3 linked regions of the Bombyx mori genome follow. The protein of the gene in region 1 binds, or shares a complex with, the protein of each later gene. Links are inferred from orthologs where the notes say so. Each region holds a gene or a part of one and is shown in the gene's direction. Other genes may lie near its edges. The genes, in order: CCR4-NOT transcription complex subunit 1, regulator of gene activity and ATP-dependent RNA helicase me31b.

Region 1 (3,742 bases):
ATTTAGTTTATTAAATTCACAAAAATTATGAAATGTTAATCCCAATGTTTTATTTTAGAGCCCTTTCTGGTACATAATAATTTCAATATGAGTGCTGAATTACAGTTTACTATCAATGGACACACCCAGATCCTTAATAGAACTTACCTCAAATAGTGGTGCACCATTAAGTAATATGATATGTTCAGGGAGTGTAATGAATAGTGAGACGAATTGTGTGGCACATACACATACCATTTGCACGCACCACAAAAACAAACTGTCTAAGTAACACAGTGATAATTCGCAGTCGATCTGTATCGATAGTTGGTTTTCTGATAGTATTGACGCCATTTAAGTGAAATTAATAAATTTGTTTTTCCATTTGCTGTAAAATTGAGTAAACAACTTTATTGGTAGAATTTATGTATGTGTGTATGTATGTATGTATGTATGTATGTATTGTATTTTGTACTACTGTTATGTCAAGTAATATAATAGTTCATAGTAATTTGGTGAGAGATAAGTTGGTAGTTCAATAATGACTTCGTAGATTTGCAAAGGGCATAATTGCTAATATCGGCAAAGAACAAAATGCATTAACTTACATGCTTGCTATAGGACTATTGTGTAGGAAGTGTTCATTCAATTTAATCTCATATTCACATTTGCTGGGGGACTGTCAATTTTAATAAAGCCTAACAAGTCAATGTATTGCCAACCAGAGGTTATCAGCTTATTGTACATTTAGCTTTATGCACCAATTTATGAAATCATTGAAGTTGATGTATGGTGAGAGATGAGAAATCTATCAATTGAAACTGTTGAAAGTATGGATGAATAAATAAAGAATTTTTCTTTGTTTAATAATTCTGAAGTTCTTATGTGTCTTTTAAATACATTATTCTAAATTATGGCACACAATATTACTATTGAATTTTGCTAAAAATATATGGAGATGTGTGCCAAAATGGTGTTTGATGAGTCTTATAACTGTCATTTTCTTGGCAATAGTAGTAGGAACAAGAATTACCTAGTAAAAGATTTTTTCAATTTCCATTTTAATTAATTACATATACATATGAAGCTTAATAAAACTGATGTTTGTGTTGTGAATCAAATTTAGGAATATACTTTATACTATTTCATTGACTACAAGCATTCTCTTTGGTTTGATCTTAAATTAAGTACTTTTGTTGCTGCAGATTGTCAGTGTCTATGGCTTGGAAGCAGAGAATCAAGTTTTAAGATGTCTTCTCACTGAAGCGGCAAGGATAGCTTGGGACGGAGACCGTACAACTTCTGCAGCTACTAATAGCATCCACGCCTCCCTTCTTGGACAACAGTTGGCAGGCTTGCTCAATCATCCAGCTAAATCAACAGTTGTTTGCCGGGCTGTTGATCATCCAACACGCTCTGTAACAAAGGTCAGTCTGTTAACCCTTAACTCAGAAATAGGAAAAATGTGATGTGATTTTATTCTTAAATTTTATTTTTTAGCTATTAAAGCCTACAAATGCACTATTGAATCGACTATCTAGACTGTTGAAGTTAACTACAGCAGAGGATGTTGCCTTTTCATTGGCTCTGAGAAGGTATTCAACAAAGAGTGAGATAGTTGCAGTTGCAAAGCAGCACTTGAAGAAAAGATTCTTGGATTTAATACAGTGCTATCTCGACGCAGGCAAGCTTTATTTCTATTGTTTTTTTAAAGTTTTGAAGTAAATATTTAATTATATGTGCTTTACAGAACGGGGACATCAGGCGGAGCGTGCAGGACTTCAGGAATGCAGCCCTGAAGTGTTGCAGTCACTCCTCACGAGTCTCGCGCTCGACAATATCAAATTAGCGGCAGTTACGAAGGATTTGTTTTTGAAGAGACTGAGATCAGACTTCCCTCGTGAAGTAGTCCCGATAGTACTCGCACCGTTGATTTATCCGGACGACACTCAGACACCTCTCGAGGAAATGACTTCAGCCGATGATATGGCTGCTGCCATGATGGAGAATTCCCTGCCAGATATTATCCGAGATATGGGCCATGCTTTTACAACTTCAGTTGAGGATTGCAAGAACAATATGATAAACTTTGGTGCGAGAGAACCAACCGCAATAGACGTGGCTAGAATCATAGCTGTGATGGTTCGCTATCACAGTAACCAACAAGACGGTCCGCAAATACAGACACCAGGCAACTTTTGGATGAGTCATGAAGCTAAAAAAGAACCAGCTGCACATCCACACAGTGAATGGAATGCTGAAGTATTTGTTCAGACATTAAAAGAATTAGCATCTAATCTGAACTGGAAGGAAGTGATACTACAGCTGGATCACCCAGAATTCTTTGTACCAGACCGAACAGGACTATCCCTACTATTCACCATACTGAGACTTGGTCTACAGAGCGCCGGCTATCCGGCCAATATATTCCCCGTTGAGTATTTATGCCGACGGTGGACGAATTTGGAAGGACAGATGAGTTTGATCAGCCACATTCTCAAACATTCTGACGTATTCTGTTTTGCCGATCATCCTTTTCATCCAGTATCAATAGACATTTTGAAATCTCCTCCTGAGACCGACAACAAAGAAGTGGGCACTTGGCGTTGCCTCTACTTAGTGGAGTTACTGCTGTATGCTGCAGAGCGTGGTTATTACATGCAAGTCCATGAACTCTTTAAAATGCCACTTCAACATTGTCCCGATATTTTGCTCTTAGTTTTACTGCAAATCAGTCCACCGATTACTGTCTTTAGGCAAGAGTTATTGACGACACTGATTCCAATATTTCTAGGTAATCATCCAAATTCAGGCATAATTCTCCACCACGCCTGGCATACACAGAACCCTAACATAAAACCTATCATCATGCACTCAATGGCAGATTGGTACATACGCGGTGAGAGTGACCAATCCAAATTATCTAGAATTTTGGACGTCGCACAGGATTTAAAGGCGCTGTCGCTCTTATTGAATGTACAATCGTTCCCGTTTGTTATTGATTTGGCTTGTTTGGCGTCTAGGAGGGAGTATCTCAAATTAGATAAATGGTTGACCGACAAAATCAGAGATCACGGTGAGACGTTTGTGTCGGCTATGGTGAAATTTTTACAAAGGCGATGTCCACAGGTGCTCGGCAAGGCACCCGAAGAACAATTGCCTAAGGCTGCGCAGCTGCCACCCGAAACGATTACAACAATGTTGGCTTGCTTACAACTATGCATTCCAAATGTTTCTCAAGAATTACAGGAGGCTATTTACAACGTAATAGGAAGCTGTCAGACGTTAATACTCAGCAAAACACGACAAAACATTGCGGGAATAGCAAGACCTCATACAAGGGTCATGGAAACTCAATTCAATCCAGCTGGCCTAGGAGGGCAATTGTTTACACCCCACGTTGACGCTATCGGTAATTTGGCACCGGGCATGGCAAATATGACTTTAGGTGCCCCCGCGAATACTGCATTTGCTATGCCCGGTACACTCGGACCACTCGTAACCACTCCGGGCTCTCCTGTTAGGCTACTTGGAGGCGGACCTAACAGTCCGTTTGCCATGATGCCGTTACCGCCCAACGCAAACCTCGGAGCGCTCGCGAGAATGGCTCCCGCTCCCGCGATTGATAAACCTCGTCTGCAGGATCCCATTCCCTTCCCGGAAGTGATGCACACCGTTGCTAAGGAAATCGAGGACGAAGCAAACAGTTACTTCCAAAGGATATACAATCATCCTCCACATCCGACTTTATCAATAGACGAAG
Region 2 (3,842 bases), on another chromosome or scaffold:
TTCTTTTCATAGTATTCCATAATCTTGAGACGTTGCTGCTGGACAAGACGGCCCTTTTCGATGTTGAACTCCTCCTCGGCCTTCGCATCGATTTCTTCGGCCTTTTCGTTGGCCTCTTGTTCGATGAAGGCCATCATGTGCTTGATCTGAATTGAAAAATATAAACATTCTGATCAAAAATACGGAGTATAATGCTCAAAAACATGAAGTCCAGTCGAGGCAGTCTTATGAGTTGTCGAAATTACAATGGCACATCCCGATCAATGATCGTGACATATAATCCTTAAAATACTTGATTTTGTAGATAAATCAGTTTTGTTTATAACAAATACCTGTTTCTGAACATCTGCATCGCTGAGCGCCATGGCTGCTGCTTATTTTTAACACCACTAACACGAAAAACGGCCGATATAGAGCCAGAAAATTAATGACTGGCTCGGGGAAAGAAGTCTACGCCTATCAGACGTGCTTCTTTATTGAACAATCATATGATCTTAGTGTTGCCAAAAAGTATTGATCAGACATAGACAATTTTTTCTGAAATATTCAGAATATGAATCAATATATACATCTCGATCCTTCTTTGCTCGATGTCGGTAAGTGAAAAGGATATAAGAACTAGGTCGGCAGAGGCCGTATTCTGGTCGCTAGTCATAAAGCACGCAGAAAAACTTTTTGATTTTGTTCTATTTATGTAAATAAGATATAATAAACTTTTTTTAGCTATTATAAAATTTTTGGAATCAGATAGCGTTCCCATGTTTGCCGCCAGAGGCACTGTTTCCACTACATACAAATTTGAGATCTTTTACGCAATTGAGAAGTTAAAAAACTTGCACTAAGCACACCGAAGGACCGTCTTCTGACCGTTGTCGAAACTTTGTTAAATCTGCAATAACAGCAATGTGCACCCGATCCTTAAATATTTTCGTTAATGTTTTGAAATGAAATCCACAATTTAACTGCTGTTGTAAATTGTGAATTTGAACTAGGTAAAATGTATTTTTAACGATTTTCTACCCATCTGTACCAACGCCAGTGGTGGGCGAGCTCACAGACCTCTACCTGAAAGAAATTGTTAACACTGCTCTGGCTTCGCTGAATCTACTACCAGTTAAGAATCAAGATTCAATGAGAAACTCAGTGAGTGTCATAGGGGTTCAGTACTCTCAGTTAAGCTTCGATTTTACGACGCTAGTGGAGGGTACTTGAGACTGGGTTGAAGAAGGCCGAAGGCCTGGATCGAATAAGGCAACGACGATTGTTCGTTGTCATCATATAGGTCGGGAATGTAATTTACGGCGGCTACGATAAGAGGGCTATTACGCCGTGCAGCTTCCTCAAAGAAAGGTTCTGATGTTCTCTTCAAATATTAACGAATCGCTTCTAAATCCAAGTATTCGTGAAGATCTGAATCTTATACACCGTATACATTTTCCTTGTTTAAAATTTTCATTTTCTAATGTAAGATTTAGAAAAGGACGAAGAATCAAATATTTGCTATATATACCTAGTTAAATTTCATTAGATTGTAGTCTACGTAATGTGTGCGTAGATTGCTTTCAGACGCCATCCAATCTGCCGGAAATGTTGTATTCACAGTGATACAGAAAACACCTCAGGGAAGATAATAGATGTCTGACTCGAACTCGTTTTCAGTTATGTTTAAAATATTTTTTGGTTGGGTTTTATTATAATGAGACCGTCCGATCCATTCATCTGTTCACCTATCGGAATCATTAGGAAAGATGAATGATCCACCAAGCTTCCGGCACTTTGCAGGAATAGTTTAGTTTTAGACAAGGGAGGTGGGTAGTTTATAATTTTCAAATAATGGTTGTGAAGTTTAGATTATTTAAAAAATAAGGCTTTAAGTTAAAAAATAATTGTTTTAATCCTAATTTAGAGATTTTTTAAAGTAATTCTGAACAAAGATAAGAAATGAAGAAACGAAGTTCTACGAGGCACAGTAGCCAAACTCATGAAGATCAGGTTTGCTACTTATAGTTATGCTGTAGAGTCTTATAAAACTCTCAAATACACGTTTAAGCACAGTATTATGTACAGTATTACAGGTTTATGTACAGTAACGATGCTACGGATTGCACTAGTATGGGTAGTATAGTAATGTAAATTAAATAATTTTATTGTAAATTCTTAAAAATATTAGTATAAATTTTAAATGACAGATCTATAATAAAGAGACAAAACGATTTATACTATTTAAACTATTTAATAAAATTGTCAAAACTATTTTTATTTTTTAACAAACTAATTCATACGGCCTGGTTTTGAAGCTTTTTGATAATTTCCGTCTGCTTCTTCAACCTTTTAACAATATGGCCGCCTGTTGTTTAGGGTAATGTGGCGTTCAGCGAAATCGTATGAAAATTTTAAAACATTTATCAGTGACGTAAAGATGTATCAAGTTTACAGTGTTTTATAGCAGCGTTTTACGCGAAGACAGTTTTATGTACCATTTATATTGGTGTTTAAAATTTTGAATGCACAAAAAACATCAAAATTGGACAGTCAACAAATCTTGTTTATTACATCGAAGCGGAAATATTTATCTTGGCAGAGTATACGCGATTATGAACCATTCTTATTCTTTATAAAATAGTTGAACAAGGACTGATAATAGGTAAATATTGACAACGTTCTCAAAGTGAGCCCAACAACATCACAACAAAAATTGTCGCCATTGTTTGACAGGGGCAACTAAGCCATTTACTGATCTTTAATACATTCTCCATATCCTCTCTACTGTATAATATGCTCAACTGAAAACAGTTTTGTGATGCTCTTCAACTATCATCTCTCTCATACGTCATGCATACACTTAACCAAAGTTTAAATTAATAATAAGCAGCATGCAATTCCATATATAGTTAAGTATTCCTTCTACTTTCTCTTTCACATTTCCAACTACTTTACAACCGATTACTCCATGATTTAAATATTAGTTTTATTTATATTATATATTTATAGCCCATATTCCATAGAGTTGAGTCACACAAAATTGATCTCTTTTGTCTCAAACTTGATAACAAATTTTCTGATTTACAACAAACATTGTATTCAGAGGTTCTGCACATATTGGCACAGAATTTAACTGCTTTTCCGTTTAATATAACCATTGTGTCAACATACTGTAATTACTTGTGCAAAATACTTAAATTGTGAAAATTATTCTTATAAATGAACTCTAAAATCACAATACGAACCAGATACTGATAATGTAAGAGCAATAAAAATTATATCTGCTTATAAAATTGGAACACGATTTAAATATTTGAAATTGTAAATGAAATAGGCATGAATCTGAATAAATTTTATTCTACATCAACTTCGTCTCACACTTCCTTGACAATACCTCTGTAAAATTATTAAATATGTCCACTACATGATTATAGTCCATTGTGTGTAGTCATTTATCTATTATATATTATTAAGAGGAACTTTTACCAAGTAGATGGGTATTTTTGCTTAAGAAACGTTTTATGTTTTAGATCAAAACTAAATTAAATCTAAGCATTCACTAGGCACAAGTCAGGTTTCCGGTAAATGTAGCATAAAGATGTTATCCTTTTCCCCTACCTATGCTGATAGCCTTGAGAGGCTAGCAGAGGGAGATATTTCAGCTTCCACTGAGAAGATCCAACTAGAAACTCAGTGGGCTGTGTTTATTGGTTAATTTACTCGTTGAGCCCTTCGCCACAAGCAGTGGGTTGTGCAGGTTCAGAGAGGACGGTGGCCGGTGCTTAAGGTACCTAAAAGCACCGTTTATAGATCGGGAGATCCGTAATGACGTGCTTAGGGCAATGTTACCTACAATAATT
Region 3 (2,581 bases), on another chromosome or scaffold:
CAAAGGGTGGAGTTGTTAGCCAAGAAGATAACAGAGTTAGGATATTGTTGCTACTACATCCACGCACGAATGGCACAAGCTCATCGTAATCGTGTGTTTCACGACTTTCGTGCTGGGCTCTGCCGTAACTTAGTGTGTTCAGACTTGTTCACTAGAGGTATTGATGTGCAAGCAGTTAATGTCGTTATCAATTTTGATTTTCCTCGAATGGCAGAGACATATCTTCATCGCATAGGACGCTCTGGACGTTTTGGGCACCTTGGTATTGCTATAAACTTAATCACATATGATGATCGTTTTGCACTACATCGTATCGAACAAGAACTGGGTACTGAAATCAAGCCAATTCCCAAAGTGATAGATCCTGCGCTATATGTAGCGCGTCCGGAAGATGAAGATCTGGGCGACAAGTAACGCCGTGCCGTCTGCGCCGCGTTGATACGTTCGCGCTCTGCGCACGCTTCTAATATCTGGACTTGCTGACTTGTGAATGAAAACAGTTTAACTACAAAAAACTTATTTGTAAAAAGTGAAATGAATTTAATGTAACAAAAAATGTGCGTGTGAATGTAGTTTATCGTGAAATAAGACTTTGACCTCAAAATGGTCACTTTTTTAGTGTACATAAACGTAACATCAAATTTAAGGAAGTATCTTGATGCTTTTTGTTCGTGTTGGACAATGTGCGTTAAGCCACAGAAATAAAAAGAAAATGTTTGTTTTCTGGTAAAGTCTACCTAAATTTGTCCATGATCTCTTCATAAATTGTGGTAGACTTTCATAAATGTATATTATAAATGTCTATCCGTAAAAACATGAAGTTTGAGCCAGCACCGGATTAATTTTTTTTTACAAAAAAAATACACGTTTGGTTACGGATAGGCAATGTAAGTCTGGCTGAAACATCAGAAATTTGGTGGAATTAGAAAAAAAACAGTGTAAAAAAATGTTGTTTCTGACCGCTTGAAACAATGTTAAATAACTTCAAGCCGTTTTCCATGAAAAATGTCATGAAGCAGCTTCAGTTTGATAAACTAATTATTCAGAAGGGTTGCTGTGTTGGTCAAACTGAATGTCTGTTGCAGGCTAACTTTGTGTCCGGTTAGAGTCAAGAACAGCTATTTTAAATATTATTTCGAAAGCGGCTTACATAGTCACAGTAGATGTATGGCATTTGATGTTGATGGGCTAAAGTAATTGAATCGAGAGAATCAAGTTATTCAAACCAATAAGTAAAATGAAAAACTAATAAATAACAATCAAGTTCTACAAAGCCCAACAAAACGAATCTGCCTTTACAAACAAGTAAATATTTTACATTCCTTGAATAATTTGAAATCTGTGACTATTTTAACGAGATTGGGGAATGCACTATTCTGTGACGGCTTGCAGATATATGGTATTCTCCACTCTATTTGGGGGTTATTATTTTGAGAGCTTTCAGTTGTCATTACAATGAAACAAATGTTTTGCTCTCTGGGGATTAAACTTTTCGGGATGTCAAGTGAAGAGTTAAATTTGGTCAGAAAATGGTATCACAACTAAAATTCGGATATATCTTTATTTGAAAAAAAAAGGGTACATACAGTATTTGATTTGGATTATTATTCTTAGTCAATTTTAAATGCACTTAAATGTGAAGTAACAGTATGTACACAGTTTGTTACAATTTGATTGATTGTAATGCAGTGCTTAAAACTTAATGAAAATTCATTGTTGCTGAAAATTATCTGTGATAGAAATTATAAGGTAAAATATGTATGTTCATTGAAATAATCAGAATGGTTTGTGACGTCTTCCGCCTGTAACTGTAACACTATAAGTTAGCAGACTGAAGTTTTAGTGTAGTAACTAACATAATACAATAGAATTCACTGACTAAAGTTATGTTTCGCTTCAGCTTTCTGTTGATATTTTGAAAAGTAAATTTCTGTAAATGTTTATGGAAAAAATGCAGCATATCAATTAGTTCAAGTTGTTATTATTAAAATAAAACCTCACAAGATATATTAAACATATATTATATATATACACAAAAAAGTGATAAAATTGTTGACCAAAAAATAAAACTCTTCACGCCATTGTTCTCTTTTATTAAATATTATATTTTTCCTATTTGCAAGAAGTCCAAGACGCCCTGGAAACGGTCAATACACATATTGTACAAGTTAACAGCTTAAAATTCTTAAAACATTTTTTTATAATTAAATGAATTTCGTACAATTTGGGATTTATAATGTATTAGTAGTTTTATAATAATTTTACTCGGGGTTTCGCTCATATTATAGTCAGAAATAATCTATTATTAATAGACCTCCACAAGGTTATCAATTTATCCCGTCTTTTTTCTGTAGAACTGTGTGCTTAATGCGAGTTTTTTAAAGTTCTAGATAGCGTTAAAGCTAACTCAAATTTGTACCCAGTTGGAACAGCGCCCCTAGCAGCAAACGTTCCAACTCCATACAAATTTCAGTTAACTTTTACGCTAAAAAACGTTAAAAAACTCACTAAGAAGACGTGTATGTTCTCGAGTTTTTATCGCTAATTTGCTTTTCACGTGTGGTGACAAACATTGAAGAAA

The links.
Region 2: the proteins of CCR4-NOT transcription complex subunit 1 (region 1) and regulator of gene activity are in contact, whole or in part, in a crystal structure (PDB 5FU7), measured with the Homo sapiens proteins. The link is inferred for Bombyx mori from reciprocal best matches to the Homo sapiens genes CNOT1 and CNOT2. Residues at the interface, in NP_057368.3 of Homo sapiens: His1864, Ser1865, Ala1866, Ala1867, Arg1870, Asp1871, Gln1917, Pro1921, Ala1923, Pro1925, Ala2003, Tyr2036, Leu2039, Glu2040, Ser2043, Arg2045, Ile2048, Ala2049, Ala2053, His2054, Leu2079, Leu2084, Lys2086, Gln2089, Ile2090, Leu2091, Tyr2092, Lys2093, Gly2094, Leu2096; in NP_001186231.1 of Homo sapiens: Met350, Val351, Asp353, Gln354, Phe355, Gly356, Met357, Ile358, Gly359, Leu360, Leu361, Phe363, Ile364, Arg365, Gly372, Met373, Val374, Leu376, Ala377, Leu378, Gly379, Ser380, Asp381, Leu382, Leu385, Leu387, Asn388, Leu389, Ser391, Glu393.
Region 3: the proteins of CCR4-NOT transcription complex subunit 1 (region 1) and ATP-dependent RNA helicase me31b are in contact, whole or in part, in a crystal structure (PDB 4CRW), measured with the Homo sapiens proteins. The link is inferred for Bombyx mori from reciprocal best matches to the Homo sapiens genes CNOT1 and DDX6. Residues at the interface, in NP_057368.3 of Homo sapiens: Glu1097, Ala1100, Phe1101, Phe1103, Asn1104, Asn1105, Leu1106, Ser1107, Ser1109, Asn1110, Lys1114, Lys1137, Arg1138, Ile1141, Glu1142, Asn1144, Phe1145, Leu1148, Tyr1149; in NP_001244120.1 of Homo sapiens: Phe329, Ser330, Arg331, Leu332, Gln333, Ile334, Asn335, Gln336, Leu357, Gly358, Tyr359, Ser360, Leu384, Arg386, Asn387, Ala402.

Annotation. Positions count from the first base shown.
Region 1 is NC_085107.1:17,968,201-17,971,942, reverse strand, and holds part of CCR4-NOT transcription complex subunit 1, read left to right. Parts: intron 1-1,184; coding exon 1,185-1,406; intron 1,407-1,479; coding exon 1,480-1,663; intron 1,664-1,729; coding exon 1,730-3,742.
Region 2 is NC_085113.1:7,420,715-7,424,556, reverse strand, and holds the start of regulator of gene activity, read left to right. Parts: upstream 1-1,582; 5' UTR 1,583-1,941; coding exon 1,942-1,992; intron 1,993-3,842. UniProt on the Homo sapiens protein: Component of the CCR4-NOT complex which is one of the major cellular mRNA deadenylases and is linked to various cellular processes including bulk mRNA degradation, miRNA-mediated repression, translational repression during translational initiation and general transcription regulation.
Region 3 is NC_085118.1:10,829,589-10,832,169, forward strand, and holds the end of ATP-dependent RNA helicase me31b, read left to right. Parts: coding exon 1-414; 3' UTR 415-2,081; downstream 2,082-2,581.